Drosophila melanogaster: one gene and its partners. The protein of the gene in region 2 interacts with the protein of the main gene of each other region in a pairwise test. Each region holds a gene or a part of one and is shown on either strand. Other genes may lie near its edges.

Region 1 (8,515 bases), on a different chromosome or scaffold from region 2:
AACGCCATACACACTCTAAAAAGTGAAGTACAATTTAGAATCGTCAGCAGCCCGAAATTCATTTTAAGCACCAGAAAGTACTTGATCTTAAGAAACTTGAGACATGCAGCAGGGCTATGTGCACATTTATTGTATCCACAAGATACATATCTTAAAATGAGAAATTTGTATACGCTTATAAATTGAACATCATTTAAACTAATGGATAGAAAACTAATAAATGTTTATATATGACATTCATAAACTGCAAATGTCATTCCTGCATTTTTAATTTGTTTATTATAGCTTTTTTTTTTTAAATATTAATGAATATATCACACTCCTGTAACTGACCCCCTATTTCAAGGCAATAAACTATGTAATGAAAATAAAACTCAGAAACTGCGGAAAACGCAATGTTGTTTTTGGAAGAATGTTTACCTTTACACTTTTAAAAATAGCGGTAAAAACGCGTCCAGACATATCATATAAACATACACATGTATGGACTCTGTCTATATATAGAAATTATATTTTATTTCCCCATTTCTTATTTAAAGCTACAAATGCACCTTTCCTTTCTAGACATTGAGTGAAGAAACAGAGAAAAATATTATACCACATCATTTTGAAAGTTAATTTTATTAAAATAATTATCAAAAACGTTCATCATAAATTTCCATATTTCACAAATAGATATCTCTAAAACAATAAGAAACGTTTTTTTTTAAATTGAACACGTTTTGTTTTCTGTGTAGGGAAATTATAATAACAACAACCGGTGTGAGAAAATAACAGATTGTCCGCATGGGATTTACAGGCAGCAATAACAACAATTAACAGACAAGAAGAAGGCCGTAAAAAGCAGTTAAAATTGGAATAAATTATAAAAGCGTTACCCAGTTTTCCACGATGCCAGTTTTCCATTGTTATTGCCACCAATTCTATAGTATTTTCACACACACAACGCACTCATACACCCACGCAGGGTTGTTGCACTTGGCAAATGGAAATGTAAAGGCGCTGTTATTAGAGCGGCGCTCTGCTAACTCGCTAATGACAATAGGGAGACAGAGCGGGATAGTTGCGAATGACAATAAGAGAGACAAAGCGGGACAGTTGGCAACTTCCTTGGTCGGTGTTGTTGTTGCTTCAATCATGTCGCTTTTGTTGCTATTGTTGCATGTTGCCAAGTGCCGTTGCTCGCACTAATTTATGTTGACTGTTGGCAAATGTAGGTGCATGTGTATTGGTGTCTCTTTTCATGTTTGTGTGCGGAATGTAAATGATTGAAATTCGTACATATGTACATATGTATGTAATAATGTATAAATGAAGCGATGGCCAAATTTATAGGGATTCTTTAAAGCTCCGAAATCAAGAAATATACAAAATGTCACGTATTTTTACAGGTTAATTAAAACTTGTTTGAGCCCAAATAACCCACATTTCTTCTCATTTTATATTTGAAAACAGGTTTAATCCATTTTAACTACGCTTTGCTTAGTGCTTTAAATAATCCTGATATAGAATTCAATATTCATGTCTTTCAAAAATTGAGTTTAAAAGTTTCTGTTAATTAATTAACAATTGTTACACAACTGTATCTGTGTCTGTACATTTCATTTTGCATTTGAATTAGTGTTGTTCATTTAATTTTTCTCGTCTCCCACAGTTTCTATCTCCCTCTTTCACCTCCTAGATGCAACAAATTAAGTTTCCCACACATTGCAATTTCAAGAGGGCGACAAAATGGAGAGGGGAGATGGAAAACTGTTAACGAGCGCTAATTAAAATGAAATTATGTGGCGGGTGTAAAGTTACAGTATCCAAAGTTGACACAATTTTCACAGTTTAAAGCGGTTATCGAAAATGAGCTACATAATTAGCCAAAATCATTGAGAAAACGCCGCTCGCATCACTCACGCATAAACTTACATATGCGCACACACACACGCAAACACTTTCTAATTTGAAACGCCCCAAAGTGGGGAACAAAAACAAAATAAAAGAAGTACCAAGCAATTGGCTTCGCTGTAACTGCCCACGACGAATGTGAAAGTGAAATTGGCGAAGATACAGCATTCGCAGTGGCCAAGGGGCGAGGGGTATACCTCTAACATAGAAGAGAGTGGACTTTAAACATAAATATTTACCGCTACCTTCTACACAGTAGTTTATTTCGTGAGAAAGAAACACAATATAAGGGTAGCTTTTAGAAAAGCTGTACTTTTTTCTATTAAAACTTTTCAAAATATTAAATGAAACCGTATATATTATTATTCACATTTTTATTAGGATTTCTAGCAAGCTACTACATATTACTAATCCAATCTTGCTTGTAAACGTTTGCTAATATAATTATATTTACGTTGAAAACAGTGAAATGCGCTACATTAGCACCGCCGACGGGGGAACCAATTAAGTTTTTAAGTGCACTGAACGCGGAAAGCATAAAAACAAGTGCGTAAAGTGGGCGCAACGTTTTTCGTTTATTATGCAAAAAGAGGGGGGGGGAGGTAGGGGCTTTACTTTGGCAAAGACTGGCTTGCAGCGCTTGAGAAATTTTCAGTACGACTAAAGCTTAGGCTGCGCTTTAAGGTTTTTTCCTCGTTTTTCCATTTCGTGTTTGGTTACACTCCACTTCGTTCCACTTCATTCCATTTCCATTCCACAAAACTCCAACTTCGCTCCACTGCGTAACAAAATTACAAGACACACTCACACAAACTTGCAACAAGCCGACAACAACAACAACAGCAATAAGGGAAGGGGGGAAATTGTCATGTTTCTGATTTCAATGCAATCGAAATATATATTGAAAAACGTATGTGGTGCACTCGATACTCCCCAAAAAAGTTGGGGGACTTTTCGCTTACTTTGCCTTCACATTCACATTCGCGTTTGGCTGTATTTTCCTTGGTTTTTGTTTTTCCCTTTGCACCGATGTTCGTTTTCGCGATAAAAAGGTGTCTGCTACATTTTCACGCGCCTTTCATTTGCCTGCGAGCCGCTTTTCATGCATATTTCCACGATCTTCGGCGGTCGCTGCACTTAAACGTTAGACAGCCATTTTGCATTTGTTTCTATTAGTAACTATTGCGGAGGAGAAACAACAACGAATTAAACATTTCACGCTTTAGGCCATTTTCGCCTGCGCGAACAGTGTGACCGTTTCGCAGAAGAATGAACAAAGCATGAACTATTAAGGTCACATTTCAAACTGTTTACATTTACAGATTTAAATATTTTGGGAAAATCATAGCCAAAGTAAATCAAAAACCTGGAATATCCTAATTTTCAATTACCCACTTTCATAGTAATAATTAAATAGACATGTTAAAATAATGTAAACAACCACAAATTTATACTTTAAAATGAAATCTACTTTAAATATGGTGATTATAGCTGAAACATTGGGGATAATAGTTAGTTAGAATATCTAAATTTTTAATTTTTAACTTTCATAATAACAATCAAAAGGTTATTTGAACATTATGTAAACACTGAAACTAAATTACTTTTAACATTCAAGTGAAGTTTTTATTTTATTGGGAAAATTGGCAATAGAACTTATCCAAAATATCGATAGGCCACTTTGGTTTGCGTATAGGCTGCAAATCCAAGCAGGTTGCAAGCCATGCTAAGCCTCATCAAAGTTATTCAACCACTTCTTTGGTATCTTCTAAGGGTCACCACTTTTCGGTTTTTAGCCTTTCTATACCCGCTGGTATATTTGAACGGCCGAGCTAATGGTCGCACTGATACAAGAATTTTACGTTGGACGGACGCCTCGATGCACAAATAAAATTTTTAAAACAAATCGGGTGCAACGGCCAATCGCGCAAACAGTGGCTCAAATCGGTGGATTTTAGCACGGGAAATTTTAAAAAAATTTGAAAAATATAGTACAATCGAGCGGGTGTTTTGAAAAAGTGCAAAAGGTCGAAAAGTGCAGGCGACACTGCAGTTCGGGGTTCCTTGGAAAAAGAGCATCTCCAAGTGGTTGAAAAACCAGTTAAATTGCAGCTACTTTTTAAGGAGTTACCTATTTAAGAATATCAATCCGCGCCATGGGTCTCAACGGCTGCTGTTCGTGCGTCAAATATCTGATGGTCCTTATAAACATTTTATTCTGGGTATGTAGATTCCAGCAGCAGCAGCAACAACAACAATGCGAGATTCGGTTCTCTCCCATCACAACAACAACTGGAACACACGGACCTCCTTTTCGCGCGCGTGTGTGTGGGTGTTGCGTGAGCGAATGTGTGTGTGTTGTGTATTCCCTACGCCCCTCTTTCTCACGCTTGGCGCGCGGGCGGAGGGAGGAGCCGTGCGCACGCTCTTTGGAGTCCTACCGCTCTTTCAGTCCCTCTTTCCACTCTCTCGATCCCAGAGGTGCCCAAAACATAAGTTGAAACTTATTTAAGTACGGCTTGAAATATTTAATCGAAAAGGAAGTAAAAAATATAAATAAATAAATAATAAAATAAATATAATAATATATTAACTTAAATATTTTTTTTTTAATGAGCGGGCTTAAAAACATTAAATGGACAAGATTATATAAATATTCAAGTACGCGGTTAATTAAAAACATTAATAGAAGGGTTTTTCTTTTTGAAATTAAACAAATCGGTTTTGTTTGTTATGAACTATTTGACTTTAAATTATTTTCTACCATTTATAACTTCAAAACTTCAACTGGCTTTTAAAAGCGACATCACTGTATCTCTCCATCTCCCGCTCGCACTCCCTACCGCTCTGCTCGTACTCCCGCATAAAAACAATAGAAGTTCCGTTGTGGGAGGGGACACACACACACACAGACAGATAAACATTTAAGCATCTCCATTCCCACCTCCCACTGTTTTCTTTTCCCTCCACATGTTTGTTCAGTTGTTTTTCTTTTGCTTCTGTCTCTTCCTGTCTCTCTTTTTTTGTTTTATTATTTTTATAACGTATACGTGCCGTTGATATTTTTACAAACTTCGGTTGGCTTAATTCGGTAAAAAAGGACCTCTCCTCACCCCAAAAAAAAGGGTTTTACTTTCTTTGGCCAACTTATCTGCTTGTTGTTTTACGCAATTTTCGACTTTCAACATAGCCTCGTTAGGCTTTCAATTGTTTCCATTCAATTACTATCTGCCACAGCGATTGTTTGCGTTTGTTTTGAGTTTCCTTGAGTTTTTCTTGGGGTTTCCTCTTGTCTTCCGCGGCTTGCGAAATCAGTTTCGCTTTTCCTTTGGGCAACAAATTTAAAATTTTGATTCTTATGCGGGCTGATTTCTAATTTTTTTTTCGTTCGTTTGTTGATTGTTGCTGCCTTTTTTCGATTTCTGTCTATAGTATTTATTAGTCAAAAGCTATTTTCGAATACGGGCGAGGAACAACACAAACTTACGCGTCCGTTCAGTTTTTCGTTGTTGTACACAGAAAGAAAATACTGATGCCTAGCCAAGTTTCGTGTTTGGAAACTTTCGAATACCTTTCAATTATTTTTCGTTTATTGTATATATGTCATGTAAAAAAAATTAAAATTAACCGATCCCAATAAGATTATATCCAATAATTGGTTTCTGTGTAATGTTCCTTGATCTGTGATGTTTTAGTATTCATCGTTGTTGTTGTTGGATGCACAGTGGTGTGTTTGATTTCAGTGGAGGAACAATGAGCGATAGAAATTGTGATGTGTTTGTGATGCAGTTCGTTTCACTAATCGTTTGAACTATTTTTAGAGCGATTTATGGATGAAAGTGCGTCAGATATTATTTTATATAAGACTTTTTATACATTGTTTTGAGGCTATTCTTAGCCAGGGCATGTTATCAATTACCCCACAAAGCCATAATAAATTTAATAATAGTATTTTTATATAACTTCGCAAAAAATGACCACTGTCCGATTAGTTTTGAATCTCGCTCTCCACTGTGCATCGATTTCCAAACATTTCCATTTTCATCGTCGCCGTGGGGCATCGTGATCAAACGCCACGATCTCTGAGGACGCTGACGCTCCAATGGGGCCGATATCCCACATCCAAGATGCTGGGGGAGGCCTATGCCATAAGCGTCTAAAATGCTAAACGGCCGGCGCTGTCGTCATTGAAGTTGACAGTGACCAAAACTGAAAGATTTCCAAATATTCGGTCGACCATCTGACAATCCTATCCTGTCCACCCACTAAAAAAACCATTTATTTCAGCACAGTCAGACTTCCATAGTGCAGAATTCTTAAATTCCTGAAAAAAATGTAATCTTTTGCTGTGAATAAAATAATATTTAAAAATATTTCTCCAAGTAACGAAGCTGGCCTGTATCTATTTTCAATTCGCTGTGACATGTCACATCTACATACTTAATTCGCTGTGCTATTTTTCACTCAATTATTCATGAGTGGCGCTTCATTCATTTTTCAGTTTGTATTTTCAGCTTATGGCTGATGCATGATGGCTGTTGGCTGCGATTTGCCATCGATGCGGTTAATTGTGGGACAAAACTGTGACTGGACATGCAATGCAAGCCCAGCTGCCTTTTGGCCCCATTTTATTTTTTTTTTTGCAATTTAGCAGCAGTAAAATGCTCTCTCGTTTTCCGCTTTCGACGCCTCGGCTCTGAAAACTGGGTCAACGAAGGACTCTGTACATTTATTGGCCCATTCGGCAGGATTTTTGTTTGTTTGTCCTGGACACGCGACATAGTGTCAGATGTGTAAAAATATATGTGTGTGAAAACGTTCGGGGAATCGTAAAAATTCCAACAAACAGAGCTACAAACAAGGCGTGGATTCAGTTCGTTCAGGGATAATGGGACTGATTCAAAACGAGGTCAACTTTTGTTCCCTAAAAGGATAAGGGAATTGAGGTTTATCCAAAGTAGTATATACATACACATACTTTATAAGAGCTCTAGGAATAAACCTCTTCTTCAGAAACATTTTTTTTTTTAATTCAACACATGAACAAATTCAAGATTATGTTACTGATCCATACCCGAAAACCTGACCTGGAAAAATAAGTAAAATCTATGCAAACAAGGGCTTCTGGTTACAATGTACTTACTCAATAAACTGCCCTCGAATGGGGCAACATTGTATTACGTTTCCATGAGTAGTTTTTCCGTTAGCTGCACACATGCACATTCATGAACTTTAGGGCCAGCATATCGTGCACTTTGTGGCACACTTTTTGTCTCGCTCACTTTATGGCAGCTCTCTCTTTCGTGGACCACCCACATAAAAGCCGGTCTCCGCTTCTCTTATATTTCATAAGATTTTCATGAAATTTACGAGACTTCCTCATGCTTTTTCATCCGTTTTTCCTGGGCGCCAAAAACTGTATCTTATATTTTGCTGTATCTTTAAGTTAAATAGATATTTGCTTATTGCGAGATCCACTGCGTAATCTTATCGGAAAGCACTGATGCTCTTGGCAATTACAAAAGCTTGCGGGCTGAGAAAAAATACGAGATAAGAAGTGTTTTGTATTTGGAAATGCTTCTCAGTTAGCCATCGGTTCTTAAGTGGTTCTAAATTTACATATTTCCCATGTAATATGTGCACTTGTTTACATCTCTTGATTAGCTCTCATCGCACACTCAATTTCCCTGCGATGAATAATTTTGCTGAATAATTAATGAACTTGCATAGACACCTCGACCAACCCATTAAGTCATTACCTCTATATTAGATTCTCTTACTCATTGCACGAGCGGAACAACATTTTTCTGGTGGATGGATTGGCAATAGCAAGTTTAGTGTTTAATATCTGGGTAGGAAAATTTAAGAAGAAATACATTACCGGAATTCTTTTAGCGGAAATCCAAAGAAAAGTTCATATTTCGTTTGCTGATAACCCGAGAAGTGAGATAACACGAGCTCGCAATTCTCATATTCTCGCTTGGGATCAATGTCTTGCCACTTCTATATGTATATACATACAGTATGTCTTGGCGATGAAGGCCAAAATTTAACTTTAAACCAAATTTTATCGCATCATTGATTTTCAAACTTAATGGGCCTTTTCTTATCGGGTTTTGAAAGTTCGGAGCTCAAAAAGCTGCCTTTGAATCTGTATACTGGATAGAATTACTGATTTTTTTTTTAACAAATTGAATGGAATGGGGAAAATTGTAATTTGTACTTGGTTTCTGTTTACTGCCTTTAATTAAATTAAAAGAAGCGCAACAGCAGTTGCTATGTATATAGTCTGCGTCCAACTAAGCTGACATCATATGTATGAAACTATAGAAGTTTAAAGCAAGGCGAAACTGGGCGGGGCAGTCTCCCACTTTAATTGCCGCCTTGCCGCCAGATGGCGTCATTGACGCGTGTGCCCAGCGTGAGATGGATGCAACAATTTGAGAATTACAGCGAAAATGTGTAAAAATAGGTAATGCTCTACTATATTTTGTATTCTTTTCGCTTGCAGCTCATCGGACTGACCATCGTGGTGACCTCCGTTTGGATGCTGACGGATCCCACATTTATGCTGTCGATGACACAGAACTACAATCATTATCACATAGCCCTGTATGTT
Region 2 (6,815 bases):
AAACTTATTTGTTGCAAGCTAATTGGCGACAATTCTTTGGCTACTTTTAAAAGGCTATTGATTCTCTCTTGGTAATATTTTGATCCTTTAAATTCTCTTTATATCAATTTGTATGATTCTTAAGCTTAATCAGCAAATGTGAGCTTTTATCGGCGATCTTCACAAGTGCCCGGCTAGCTCAGTCGGTAGAGCATGAGACTCTTAATCTCAGGGTCGTGGGTTCGAGCCCCACGTTGGGCGAATTTTCTTTTTTATATTTAGAAAATAGTTTTATTAAAAATGTTCACTAATTGCTTTCATTGAACTTTTCGATTCTGTGCGTTTGGCTTACGCCTGGGGTTGCGTGGGCTATAAGACGAAAGTCAATTTCTATGTTTTGTTTATTTATAGACGAGTTACTATATAGTGAAATACCATCGACAAGACCTAATAAGTTTTTATTTATGGCAGCACTCGCAGCTGTTTCCATTTCTATAACAATGCCCCGTGAGCTTCCCCCTGTCCCTCTAGCGTTGGCGCGTTTGAAAAGTCTGAAAGCCATTTCAAGGCTGAATCTCAACTGGAAGTGGCAGTTCACTGTGGCACCGAACAGGATGTGGACAGGATGCCATCATTCAGTTCATATGTGGAGCAAGGTCCTTAAGCTTTGAAAACAATTGTGTTAATGTGTACAATTGTTATGTCTAGCTGCTATGTTCGGAAAAAATGGATAAAATATACAAATCATTTTTTGTTTAGATCTTGACGCAGGTCACCATTGCAACCCGTTCCATATGCCTGCTTCCTCCCACATGGAGACAGTGAAATCTGAGATCAGACAAGAATGCGGAATGCATTTCCCCTTCAGACTCCACAAACAATTGGAGAGCATGAGAATCATCTTAGTTGTATTAATTACTTTGCATTATTCCATAAATAACTTTGCGGGAACAATTCTAGATGCTGTTCCCTCTGTTAATGTGGAACGACTGATGTGCATAGCTTACTTGGTGTTTTGAACTGTGCCGAGTGCTCTGCATGTATGATGTCAGCTTCAACAGCAATCCAAGGCTAGTTAATTAAAATGAATATGAAATTGCACTTGTGATTCACAAGCTGTGATTAAATTGCGGAAAGTGTCCATTTGACTTGTTGTAGGTGTGTAGTTGTCGCACCCAATTATGCAAAATAGTTACGGAATTTATGAAATCGTTTAATTTTCGATGAAAAAAGTAAAAATTTAATTTAATCAAGGAGCCTACAAAGATTTTAGCATTGAATTCAAGAAGAACAAAAGGTTATACTTTTACAAGTATAACAATCTAAATGCCTATTTGGCATACAAGTTGTTATGCTAATGGCTAAAACCTTTAGTATTTAGCTTATATATCTTAATAAATATAAGATTAACAGGAATGATTGTTTTGATCGTTTAATAAGGACTATTTTCATTGGCACTGATTTCCTCGAAACTTGTTATGGTTGAAGTGAGCTTCTTGCTTTAAATGTCGATTTAAAATAATGTCTGGCAAACAAAATGGTTGTAACTTTGTTGCATGTCGAGTGGATACATGATGACATGATAGCAATGATAGAAGAGATCATGATGGCAAGTACTATAAAAGGGTCTCATCCCACCAGGTGATACTATTGTCATCATGAGAACTCTCATGCTGTTCGTATTTGGCTTTGCTAGTTCCTGGGCCGCAGACTACGAGCTGTTGCTGGAGGACCCTGATATCTTTTCACCCTGCACTGAACCGCCGCCGGGATCGATTGGATTCCACGATGCCTTCGATATTGGCGATCTGGTAGTCGACCAGGACATGGACATCATTCACCTGTCCGAGAGTGTCACCTCAATCTGGGATGTGGAGCCCACAGATCGCATATCCGTAATGCCCGCATTCCTTATACGAAATAAGATTATTAATAAACAATTGCTTTTAAGGCCAGGTTTGCAATAATGCATTACAACCGCGGCAGCTGGGAACCGACTGTATTTAGCATGGCCACGCCGGACTTCTGCGCCTCAATGTTTGATGAGAATCAGTCGTGGTTTAAGTACTGGACCAAACACATTTCGAACCGCGATGAGGTGATGGAGAAGTGTTTTAAAACGCGTGGTGTGAGTTTTCCCTGCAAACAAAACAGTCCATCTCTGGCGCGGTGACTTTAACCTTGGGATTCCATTACAGACCGTTATAATGCACAATCCATTCGATCTGCAGCTGCGTCTAACGGACATTCGTGGTGCAACTCTCAGGGGTCGTTACAAAGCTGTGGTCACCTTTGAGGCGGTCGATGAGAAGGATGTGCCACGCCGTAATTCCATTTGCTTCGAAATCAGGGGAGAGGCCGAGAAGATAAATTAATTAAGGGCTTAATCTGTTCAAGGCGCGATATCAGTAACCTAAAAAACAATATAAACCCAATATCTACATATTTTGAAAATAAAAAGCAATCTTAAAAATATAAATATAAATAAAATATATCAACTATTCTGAACTTGATATATGTACTTGATTTGGTACAAAGTGTGTAACAGGTGACGCGAACCTTTTTTTTCGTTTGATCAACCTTATGCCCGTATGTGATCTCGGGAGCTATAAAAGCTATATTGATAAGATAAGGGATGCAGATTATAGAGAAGTACTTTCAGAAGATTGCCACGCCTACTCTACCACACCCTCTAACGACCAAAAACCGCCCAAAACTGTCACGCCCACACGGATATGTGATCGCCAAGAAAATCTTTGGGGAATTTGTTTTTTGTTTCAAACTTGTTTTTTTTTCTAGCCCAAAAGTTATTATTATTAAAACATCTTGTTTTACAATGTTTAAGCACGAATATTTTCAAGGGTCACATAACGTGATTTGCCAATTATATTGTTAGAGTTTGACAACGTCTGATTAACAGGAGATGGTTGTTACATTGTTGCGTGTTGAATCAATGTACGATGGCATACCATGATTAGATGTCATCATTTTAAAAGGTGTATAAATAAAACATATCAAAAACTCTATTGTGGCAGTGGCTATAAAGGGGTCGGATCTCACAGTTTTCGGTTCTATGGTCATCATGATATTTGTGCTGCTACTCTTATTAGGAGTGACCAGTTCCTGGGCCACAGACTATGAATTATTGCTCGAGGATCCGGACATATTTTCGACGTGCACTGATGGTCCTCCCGGATCCATCAACATCCGCCAGGCACTCAACTTAGACGACATTGTAATCGACCAGAAAGGGGATATACTTCATGTATCCGGGAACGCCACCGTCGTGTGGGATGTGCAGCCCACCGATCGGATTACTGTAACACAAACTGCAAGCTTCGGAATAATCATCGATTCTAATATCAAAACTCTTGCATCCGTGTAGGCGAGACTTGATGTTTTTCACTTCAACCGCGGCACTTGGGAGCCCACTGTCTTTAGCATGGCCACCCAGAACTTTTGCTCCATCATGTACGACAAGAACCAGTATTGGTATAAGTATTGGACAAGGTTTATAACCAATCGCCATGAGGTGGAAAAGAAGTGCTTCAGAGGGCCTGATGTAAGTGGAGTTCAAGCAATTTGACAACCAAATACGGTGGAATATAATAGCATATGGGAATAGTTCTCATATGGGATGCAGATTATTCATATGGTTGTGTGCAAAGGACACTACCATTTTTTATTGCACAATATTTTGAAAATATTCTGATTTCTTACAGACCGTTCTGGTACACGAGCCCTTCGATCTCATACTAAAATTTGAGAATTTTCGTGGACCTCTTCTTAGAGGACGTCATAAACTTGTCATATTGTTTAACGCACTAGATGAGAGGAATATACCGCGCCCAAACCCAATTTGTTTGGAGATCATAGGAGAACCACTAAAGTTGCAGTAGTTGGAACAATAGACTATTTTGTTGAATGTGTATTTTTTTTTTCAATATTGTATAATATTAAACATAGTGTTCTTAATTCCTACATTCAATAACAATTTAAACATTGCATCGTGTTTTAACAGATCTCATAACTTTAGGGGCTTGTTTTACCTTCCATATCCCCAATCAGTTAACTTCTTGATTCGTTTTGTTTTGTGGTTGGTGGCACGCGTTGACGGCAACTTGAGTTCAAGTTGCGGTTTCCATATCGGCTAGCTGCGTGTGGCAAGTACCTTCTCGGGTAACGACGTGCAGACAAAGGAGAACCGTATACTGACTGCATTTTTTTGGGGTCATGACTGCCGTTGCTGGATGGGGAATATGCAAATACAATTGTCGGTTATTGGATTACCCGATGATGATTGGCATAAGTTCCGATCGATTCAAATCGCAGCAATCGATTTGTCAATTTGCAAAGCTCTTGCCAATTCACGGAAAATGTTTCTTACAGATTTGCGAAAACTTTTAAACGGCAGGGAGGTAAGCCTCGGAACACTTTCATTTCATATTCCCGGCGAATAATTTTCTACTTTCTAAACCGAAGAGCCAGAAACAAAGACCGTCTTTAGGTGCAAATTAGCAGCGCACGATTGTGCAGGCCGCTCCGGGCAATCCGGTAAAGTCAACATCTGGCCAAAGCCGAAATTATGGCCGCGGGCACTCACTATACTATATAGTATATGGTACGTCGGACCTCATAGAAAATCAATCAGTGCGGACTTCTGCTTCGCAGGCAGGCTCTTGGATTTAGCATAAGAAACGGCTCTTTCTGGAGGCAGTGGCTTTGTTCGCCAACCCAAAAAGCTGGCAATGTAGGACGTGGCGACGGCATGGCTCTGAACCCGTTTTTTTTGGCCATCTCCGCCTCTATCCACCTAGCCGCTGCTGGGAATCTTTGGGGCCTTATCGAGGAGCAGCACCGAAATAGCAACAAAATTGCAGCATGAATGGGGCTGTGAACCAGCTGGAGAGCCGGTCCGTGTGGGCAGCCTTTGTAGGCTATTGGAAAGATCAAGAGTTTATAATGCCAGCCACACGTTTGTTGTTAGCTGTGTGTTGTGTGCATGGGTGTGGGTCTCCTCGTGGTGGTTGTGTGAACTTTTCCAGTTTGCTCTGACTGGCATAAATTGTGGGTTTTTAGGTGTCTAGCTCACTTCCCGGCCGAGTTGGCTTGCCAAGATAAATGGATACACATGGAGCGGTTGTGGTGTACTATATGTGCATGGATGCACCACGTCCATTGCACTCGCTGTCTTCCCCTGCGCTTAGACTCGATTTCGATGTCTGACGGAAACTGGAAAGTGTTTTGAATACAACCACGAACTGGCGGGAACGAGATCTTTCAGCTCGATGACTGGTTACTAAACAGTAAACAGTAAATACTCTAGAAATATGAGGACAATGAATAAAAAGTAAATGCATTCAAACCACCGCTAAGACAAACATTTAACAATTTCAGTAGCTAACTAAATGGATCTTGAAATTAAGTTGAAAAGGGGTTTTGTTAGCTGCGGCACTTTTACTATGCGTCTGGCTGCTAGGCAATCCAGCTCCACTCGCCCATTCATAAGGCGATGCCCGAACACTGGGATCAGGACCAGCTGAGCTCTCTCCCAACGCTAGCACGAAACACAACATCCACGCCAACGCGGACGCGAATGGTTTGGGCCTGGTCAACGTAATGACAGCTTCGCGTGTTTTGGCCCGCGAGTGGATGGCTGGCTTATTGGTGGTGGCTATATCGCTCCACGACTACAAAATGCTCATTCACAAAACGCCGACAAGACGCTGCCCACGCATGCGAGGCAAGAACCGCTTATCAAGCTGTCGCTGGCGGTCGGCTGTCGCACACAAAAAATGGTTTTGCAACAAATAAACAATAATAATTTGCATGTGGGCCGCGTCTTGGAAACGTGGTTCAATCATTGAAAAAATCAGCTTATAGGCTTTGAAAAATTTTGGTCGCTTTTGGTCTTTTTGGAATTTATTCTGTCGCGATTTTTCTTGGATATTTATTGATTTTCCTCGATTTCTCTATCATCCCACACATCACATTCTTTGAATTTATTTAAATCTATACGATGGTGATATCACGAGAAAAGTACTTAAAGTGTTATTATCAATAGTATTTGTATTTTTGCCTTAACTTGAAACGAACGAATTCCCAATACAATAGTTTCGAACATACTTTTTCAAACCCAATTTATTATTTATTTCATGTCGCATGTGGTGTTTTGTGAAAGGGGGAAAGAAGTCGTTATCATCGCTTGAATACCGCGTTCAATTCGTTTTTGTGGAGCTGGCAATTGTTTAGGGTTTTTGTTGCACCCAGTGGTTGCATGGCAAAACGAGTATATGAACAAAAAAAAAAAATAAATAAATAAAAGCTGGCAAAAATAGCCAAAAATCGATTTCCGTTAAGTTTTTGCTTGAGCTGTTGCATTTATTTGCGCATTTCCCGGCTTTTCCGCTGCCATTGTCTCGTTCGTTCGTTTACCTTTGAGCAGTGCTGTTTATGCAATTGCCATGGCCCAGAGCTCAGGCTTCTTTTGGGCATTTTGCATTGAAATCGATTTTGATTTAGCAATTGACATTTTAATGGTATTTATTACTGCCCGATTGCGCAAAAACCGAAAGTTAAATGCAACTGCAATTGGCAGTTGCTATTTGGGCTTGATGAATCTGCTCCTGTTATCACAGTGGTCACCAAATGGGAACATTTTATGTCTTCATTCAGACGCCTCCTGCTGCTTTCGATCTTTGGCTGCTTCGCTCGTCTGGCTCTTATTTTCAATGTCATATGTTGTGTAATTGAAGCGAGCCAAAACAAAACAAAACGAAAACTCGTTTTCGCTTTTATTGACCATTTGCGCGTCCTCACTCGCTATTATTTCTCTT
Region 3 (8,699 bases), on a different chromosome or scaffold from region 2:
TTCTGGAGCCTTGGCCTGCTGCACATACAGCATGCCGTCCTCGAGGAGATTGCTAACCGGTGCTCCCCAGTTGATAACACCGCGGGCCAGCATATTGTCGAGAATCTCCTGGGCCGTACCGAATGCCGGCTTAATGTCATGCTCCAGCGAGTGCAGGAAATCATCTCGATTGACCTTTAACTTTTCCATGGCCTCAGGATCAACGGTCACCTTGGCATCGGCCTTGATCAGTCGGTTCATGGCACTCGACTGGGCGGCACGGACCAAACCCTCCAGCTCGGCACCGCTGAAATTCTTGGTCAGCGCAGCGATCTCCTTGTTGTCCACATCGTCGTTAATCTTGTTGAATTCACGCATCCGCTTGGTGTGGATATTGAGAATCTGGACGCGACCCTGCTCGTTGGGCAGGCTGATCTCCATTTGGACCTCGAGGCGACCCGGTCGCAGCAAAGCCTCATCGATCATGTCCCTGCGATTGGTCATGCCGATAACGAGAATGTTGTTCAGCTGATCAACGCCATCGATTTTGGTTAGCAACTGATTGACGACGGTGTCGTGGACACCACTATTTCCGGCCACGGAGCCACGCTGCTTGCAAATGGCATCGATCTCGTCGAAGATGATGATATGTAGTCCACTGTTGGGACCCAGGCGTTTCTCCTCCTCCTCCGCCTCGGCAAACAGACGCCGGACATTGGCCTCCGATTCGCCCACGTACTTGTCCAGGATCTGTGGACCGTTGACGATTTTCGGCTCCCGGGCGTTTAACATAGTTCCGATTTGGCGAGCCATCAGAGTTTTGCCCGTACCCGGTGGACCATAAAGTAGAATGCCCTTGACATGCTTGCAGCCCAGCTGCTCGACCAGTTCCGGTGGGAAGACACGGGATGCGAAGGCTCGTCGAAATATCGAATTGAATTCCTTGTCCAGGCCACCGATGCCCATTTTGCCAAAGTCCCAATCCGGGTTTATAATGGACTGGCGGACCACCTTGCCCTTGCTCTTGCCCTGCAGATTCAGCGAACTGTTCTCGGCCTTCTCGAACTGCACCACGGTGTTGCCAAGGATGCGGCCGAAGCGGACATTACGCATCGCGGTGTCCTTGCCCTCGCCCAAGCTCTTGGGATCGATGGCCTCTAGGGATTTGACGGCCAGGCCGAGAAGTTTCTTGTCCTTGAAATTGAAGACCAGTGATTGGCCAACGGTGAGTGCCATTCCGGCGAATTGCATGATGAACTCCTTGGCCATTTGATCGGAGTCATAGGGTTCCTGGGAGACACTGCATAGGATGGTAGATAACAATCGATATTACATAATATCCTTGACGCCGTATACTATATATATGCACTCACGTCTTCTTCTGCAGAAAGTCCGTCTCAAAGGACACACAAGTGATGACATCCGAGCTGGCATCAAAGCGATAGGGACGAACCTCCAGTTCCTGATTAATGGACACCATGGCCCACTTTCGTTGGACCAGGGAGAAGCCAACATAGCCGCTGGGCACCTCCACCGTTTTCTCCAGCGCAAAGATGAAGTGCTGACCCGGAGCCGGCGATATGTCCGCATATCTGCAAGCGATGCAAGTGGGAATTATATATATATATATATACAAACAATGGACTTTTATGCCCGTTAGGACCACATACTTGATTTCCTCCGGAAAATCACCAACATTCACTATAGCCCGATTGGTCAGCGAAAGCTCGTCCGTGGGACATTTGGTGGCCTTCAAAATCTACGGAAACCATTATAAATCTTTAGTAACTAGTCAAAAATAGTGCCGTAGTGCCTATAAATATTGGTATTTCAAACTCACATAAGCCATTTCTTTAGATTCTTGCTGATTTTCACGGGGTTGTTTAGAATTTGACAAAAATCAATAATTATAATCCAATGGAAGTACTTTAATGGTCAGAAAACGCAGCTTTGTGTGCGAATTAACGTTTGATATTTGTTTACAGTATCACTGAAACAGCATAACTATATATATATATATTAATTTTTGAACGAATTGTGAACTATATCCTTTCTGAACTTTCAAGGAAGATGTGATCTAAAATTTTATTCAGCACATGCGCCTAGGAATCCAGGGCTGGCGAACTTGTTAGTACATCCATATGGGATTTGGTTTTTAAATATACGTTTCTTTTGCCAAGTTTAATAACTAACGACTCGTATTTGCATGATTTTTTTTTTTAATAATAATAATTAAATTTATAAAGCAAGCGGTTGATTTTTTAAATTGGTAGAGTGCTCGAGAGCTCTTTAATATAAAAGTTGTATATGTATAAATATTAATAAATTCTCGCCGGGCTTTTACTAACAAAAAATGTAATCATTTAATTTTTTAAGATTTTCCGGTAAGAGAAGTCTTAAATTGCTACCGCATTTATACCAGAAAATTCGTGGTCCACAATAATCGATTTATCGATAATATCCGACTGAACGAAAATTCAAATCTAGTGTGCGAGGAAATTTAGAGACGAAAGTTTACGTATTTAAGCGTCCAGTAGTCATTGAGTTAAGTGTAGCTACCTGATTCGGATAATTAAGTACTTTTACTTTTTTGGGAGCACAACAAAATTTTGTTCTCGTTCTTACTTTTACACAGCAAAATTTTATAATTTTTTAAAATTTTTCTGCCGGGCTGTTCGACGAAGCAAAATCAATTTACCAGTACTACGACGGTGAGTGACGATGCCAATCGCTAACTTTCTGTACACACGTATGTTACCATTCCGAGAAAGTTTCTAGATAACAAACACGGCCATTGCAGCTTACTTGTATAATAAAACACATTTCTAACACGCTTTTTACACGACAAACCGCGGTTCGATGTCAAAAGTTCGATGCAATAAGATCGACCACTGCTTGCTGGGCGCAGTTCGCGGCATTAAGCCGCCCTATCGCTCGGTGCGTAATGCCCAAGACGGCGTGATTAGCACCTTCCTGGACAAGTACAGTAGGCCCAATTATTTTGCCATCCGCTTGGTGATACCCGCCGAGTTGCCACCCATCGATCTGGCCGAAATACTTATGGACATGCTAAAGATGCAAATATTGCGCCGCAAGAATTGTATCGCGTCGTCCAATTGGGTCAGGATGAAATATATATGTCAATACGGCAGCAAAGCCGATGAGACGTTCATCATGCATGACAGTGCCATGAGAAAACTGCAGCAGGCCATTGAAGAGCTCACCAATCTGCTCGATCAACTGAAGCTGGCGTATGAGCCCGTTTCCTATGGACGGATAGCCGTGCAGGCTCAACAGTTGGATAAGCGGGCCCAGATATGGCAGAATTTGCTCAACGGCCGCAATGAGCAGTTGGAGCGCCGTTTAGCTCGGGACATTTCACTCCCATATCCTCCTGCAATAGATGCCCGCATGCGCATTTCGAAAAGTTATCAAGTTATCAACCATATGCGCACTTGGCGTTTCGGCTAAGGTCAGCAAATTAGAATTTGGTCGAATTTGTTTGTATATCAATATGGTCACTAAAGATGCTGCTGTGATATTTTACCTTGCTTTTGGATATATATACATTTCTTTGGATAGCATCTACCTGGACTGAGACGTTCTACTGTCATAGTGATTCTGATGTCGTATGACTTCTATATTAACTTTAAATTAATCGAGTGCAACGCATGTCGAGATTAATAAATAACATATCAACAACAAAACACAAACTTTGACTTACCTCCGCGCTGCCCGAATTGCAAACAAAGAGAATGATGTTATCCAGCCCTCTAGTGTAGTGGAACTGCTTGTGCGTCTGCTTGCTATATGTTTGACCACTGCTTGCACAGCGCACATGTATGTTCGAACCATGTTCGAACCATGTTCGATGGTAGCTCAGTAGCTTAGTGTAGCTCTTCTGTGCGAAGCATTTTATTTTTCGTTTGCCCGTCGAAGAAGGCGAAGCGAAGAGAAAATATCTGCCGCTTCGAACGCACGCTATCAATGTCTAATTCTTTACGTAATAATCATTTTTTTTTTTGCTGTGTGACTGAAACGAAGAAATATACGAGCAAAAGTGAAAAATACGTGGACTACCTGTTGATCCAAAGATCTCAACGGATTTAGTGTGTGTGTGTGTGTGTGCGTGCGTGTTTTTTTTCGGTTCATTGTTTTGTTTGCAATAGTGCAAAGGAAAAAGTAATCACTTTGCCGTGTTCGGTGCACGTGCACGAAATATTTATAAAATATATATTAAAAAAAAAAAACATAAAATTAACGATGTTGGAGCTACCGTTTACCACCATACGGCCCAACTGCCGGCTAAGACAGAATCTTGGTATTCTGATAATCCTGCAATGCGTTCTCACTTGCTACAATTTCAACCTAGAACAGCGATTGCCCATTGTGAAGTACGGACATCCGCATTCGCATTTCGGCTACTCGGTGGCCACCCACACTATTGGCGAGGCCAATGGGCCCAACAAGACCAACTGGTAAGTGGATAGTTAAGTGGATAGATAAGTATCTGAAAGATGCGTCCAAAGTATGCGAACTTCCAAAGTGAATCATTATCTGCAGTTCATTTAAACGCTTAGGCATATTTTTATTTTTCAACAATCAATTTTAAACTTGCATCCAAAAGATTTATTCGAAAAGTGTCTTGTTGTCTCAGCTGTGTTTTTTTTCTTTAGAAAAATGTTAGGTAAACAATAATGCTGAAGAACAGGTAGAGAAGAATCCAAATCCAAATTCGTGTCCGAATCGGAAATTCGCGCCAAGAATCTTGTTGGTGCGCAAACAGGTTTTTATATTCGCCAAATCGATTTCAGCTTAATTGACTGGCATTGATTGTTATTAATCAGCAGCACACGAACAATAACAACAACAACAACAAATAATAAAATAATAATAATAATAAGAAGAATTTGCATTGCAATCGCTGTGTTTGTTGCTGTTGTTCAGGGGGGGGGGGGGGGCTATCAAAGTTTGCTAATGCGCGAAACTTGTTTGAAATCGTGTTTTTATTGTTGAATTACCATAAATTGTTTGAATATCGAGTATTTCCAGAGATGATGCCAGGTTTTAGATGTTTTTCGAATCGAAACAAACCATAATAAACTGAATGCATATGCCAAATGCAATGACAGCAGATAAGTGTTAAATATTATATTTGTTTGTTTCTCTTTTTTTTTTTTCGAATTGCTATTTGAAGAATTTCAACAGTTTAAACGATTTGTCATCCTTACTATCTGAGAATTTGCCTGTTTGATATTTTATGGTTTTGATTGTTTATTTTTGTGCAACTGATAAGCATAGTTGGTCGAAGAACAGACGAATTGTTTTAATGTTTCCCCCGACATGGGTTAAACCCTTGAACTATTGCGACTGAAGCGGATGTGGATTTATTTGCATTTGTCATAGATTCTTTTTGGCGAGGGCTTGGTGCTCATTAAATGTCTCGTATTGGCGACTTTATAAGTTGGCCAACTCCTTTTCGCATTCTCTATATACAATACAAGCAATACATAGATAGATAGATAGATAGATACATTGGCCAAACCAAACTCGGTAGACAAAACGGAGCCAGACGGCCAGTGGCCATAAAAATGGGCAGACAACAAATCTGGAATCAATACAAGCTGCGACTTGGATGCGCCAATTTGCAGCGAAAAAAACTGAGTTGCTAACATTTTAATACATTTAATACAACTGAACTGGCAATCGAGTTATTCCCGCCACATGGTGTGGTTTCTTAACCATGTATTGTGGTAAAAAAAAAGAAATTGTGCCATTCGCGGCATGCCCCATCGCTATCACTCGGTGCGTAATGCCTACGTAGGCGTGAAAAAGTCATGTTCCCCTTCTCTCTCTCTTGCCAAGTAGTGCCCTCTCCTTCGGTCACCCGAATAAGGGAAAGGGATATTATTATTATACTTATCATATATATGTTTATATATATCATTTATCGGCCGACGAGTCTAAGTGTACCAGCCTGAGTCATTTGGGTTAAGTAACGAAATGTCACGTATTGAAAGTCCAACTGAAAATCAATAGACCTTCAAAAAAAAAAAAATAATAAAAATAAATTTGCAAATGAGATGCATGATAAACTTTGAGCTTTAACTTCAATGTAATGGTGATATTATATGGTGGTGACCCCGTTTGGCAAGAAGTGGTGACCCACGCTGTTTCTTAAATCTGCATCGCGTCTTTAAATGACGCACTTGAAATCGGAAGAAGCTGTAATCCAAACGGAAATTGCTGTTTTTTTTCGCATCGAAGGCTAGTCCGATAACTGCAGTGAATTGCACAGTTAACTTGAATTTCCAGCTCGTTTATTGCGCGCCTTTTGTTTTTCAGTTTTGTTTGCACTTTGCGATTGTCGCATATTTGTTTTATTAATGAAAAAAAAGGTACGTATGCAAATAATGTGACTCGCTTATCGCTGGCCCATCTTAATTTTTTTTTTGTACCAGCCATATATACCAGCGGTTACGTGGCGCAATTATTACCTTTGATGATATGGTACAAATTGAGATAAGCCGCTGAGGATGGTCGATTAAGCTATACAATTGTTTTCGTACCCTTGCCGTGGCATTTACAGCGCCATAAAAAATGTGTATATATGTAGGCGACTTTTTTTAATTAGCACCTTCAATCAATCGGCATTAAATAATGATTGGCTTTGTTAATGAACTACAATTTCATTGCGCTGAATACTCAATATATTGCAGATTGAAAATGGTATGAAAATGCTAGCACGATTTTAACTCGCTTGCATGTAAATAAATCTCTGAGATTCGGTGTATCTCGTAGATGTTGTATCTCATGTGGGATACTTCTTCTGCATCGCGAACAGCTCACTGGTTGTGTTTATGCCGACAACATGTGTTCCTTGTTTGCGCCAAAAAATATAGAAGAGAACAAAAACTAAGAAAGAACTTAAAAAACTTTTCGGCGAAATGAGGTCAACAGACGCCAAACAGTCGCAAGAAAGGAAAGGTTGGGGGGAATGGTGGTGGTTGGTTGGTTGGGTGGTTGGGTGCTCAATGGGGTGGGCTATCCACTGGGGGCTGGTCGACAGTTTATGGTTATTGTTGTTGCTCTTTTACTCGCTGCTGGTGCGTGTGTCTCCCGCCAAATAGTTGAATAGTTAACCCAGGCCCAGCAACACAAAAAAAAAATAAATAAAATAATAAGAAAAATATGGGAACCCAACCCAAAAGTCCATTTCTCATCTACCCGCGCACCCAGCACCCCCTTTTCCACCATTTTCCTATTTTTTCCACTCGTAAGCAAATGAAGCCAAAAACGCGAAAACGAAAAGCGACAAGGAAATGGCCAAAAAACACTTGCTAAGGCAATGTAAGCTGGCAGACATGTGTGTATGCCATAAATATGCGCACTGGCACCCACAGTGAAGGTCACAAAAATGCATGGAATTTAGTTAAATATTATTTAATATATGTAAACTACAAATAATGTATTACATGCCAAGAAAGTTATTTGAAATATTATTTTTAAAATAATTTAAACTACAAATGTAAGCTAGAAATGTATTTGAAAAAATGAATGATTTTACTTTAATTTCGATCAGCTGCTTACTATTTTTATGACCGCTGGTGTTCATATAGATTCTCTGTAGGGATCTTTGGGCATTAAGTGCGGACTTTTCGACTTTTCTAAGGCGGCCGAAGCAAAAAAAAAAAAAAAAGGAAGAGATGGGGGTGCGACTTCTGGCAGCCAAGATCCATGAGAAAAGTTCACTTGTTCATTTTTGCCAACAGTGAACACTTACAGTAAGACAAAATTGTTTTAAGATCCTAGTTTTAATATACAGCATGTGTGATATAAGAAGCATTAAGAGCACTTAAGGAAAATTGCTTAGATATTTATCTATCTATCTGTAAACTTTTGTCATACTGAGTGCCCACTGTGGAAGTGAAGCCGCCTGCTCAATGGAACGTTGAGCGGGCCATAAACATGCGTGAAAATTCAATTGATTTTCCGGGGAGCAGAAGGCGGCATAGTTGGCATGCGTATTTATAGAAAATAGAGGAACAGCCTAATGCTGCACACGAAAATAAGAAAATAACAAAATAAAAAATTGCCTATTTTGGTGTGGGAAACAAGAGGCTGGCCTATTCGGATTCGCATCGGAAAACCGATCTGGCAACTGGGATTGCGAATGGGATTGCGATTTTGCCTGGGCAGCCGCCAGCTGTCGAGTGGCGAGATACAAGACGGCGCAGATATTCAGATACTCCGAGAGACTTGCAACATAATTTCTGCCAGCAACTAATGAGACCCCAGGCTCCGAAAGTGTTGCCACAGCCTCAACTCCATGGAGCTGCGCAAAAAAAAGCGCGTGGGCTTTGATTTATTGCCAATTGGATGGCAGTCGCACAGCAGAATCGCGCTGAAGAGCTGCGAAGATTTGGGGCGGAGAGCCGCCGCTTTCTGGCCCCACTCGAAATCCCAAATCCGAATCAAAATCAAAGAGGAAAAAAATAAAAAACAAAATCCCATGGCCGCGTGGGTTAAACACGAAGTTGCAAAAACGAAAAAAAAAAAAAATCAGAAAAACGCTCACGATGATTTTGCGCATAGAAATCAAAGAGCCCACGCCTCGGGCTCTTTAAAGTGAAGAGAAGAATCGGCCCACTAGAAGAACTGGGCACTGAAGATGCTAGCGACCTCCGAAGAATCGCGTCCCTAAGCGAACGATAAATCAA

Evidence for each region. The genes of interacting proteins can lie anywhere in the genome.
Region 1: the proteins of CheB42b (region 2) and Tsp96F interact in a two-hybrid assay, tested with the Drosophila melanogaster proteins (one large-scale study listed by BioGRID).
Region 3: the proteins of CheB42b (region 2) and mew interact in a two-hybrid assay, tested with the Drosophila melanogaster proteins (one large-scale study listed by BioGRID).

Annotation. Positions count from the first base shown.
Region 1 is NT_033777.3:25,876,619-25,885,133, reverse strand, and holds the start of Tsp96F (tetraspanin 96F), read left to right. Parts: upstream 1-3,706; 5' UTR 3,707-4,052; coding exon 4,053-4,118; intron 4,119-8,407; coding exon 8,408-8,515.
Region 2 is NT_033778.4:6,940,233-6,947,047, reverse strand, and holds CheB42b (chemosensory protein B 42b), read left to right. Parts: upstream 1-3,052; 5' UTR 3,053-3,061; coding exon 3,062-3,298; intron 3,299-3,364; coding exon 3,365-3,541; intron 3,542-3,701; coding exon 3,702-3,878; 3' UTR 3,879-3,952; downstream 3,953-6,815. Other genes in the region: CheB42c (chemosensory protein B 42c), read left to right, coding at 1,638-1,874, 1,931-2,107, 2,178-2,354.
Region 3 is NC_004354.4:13,252,375-13,261,073, reverse strand, and holds the start of mew (multiple edematous wings), read left to right. Parts: upstream 1-3,890; 5' UTR 3,891-4,242; coding exon 4,243-4,457; intron 4,458-8,699. Other genes in the region: comt (comatose), read right to left, coding at 1-1,279, 1,353-1,571, 1,650-1,738, 1,820-1,828; CG15742 (uncharacterized protein), read left to right, coding at 2,839-3,450. UniProt on the Drosophila melanogaster protein: Integrin alpha-PS1/beta-PS is a receptor for laminin.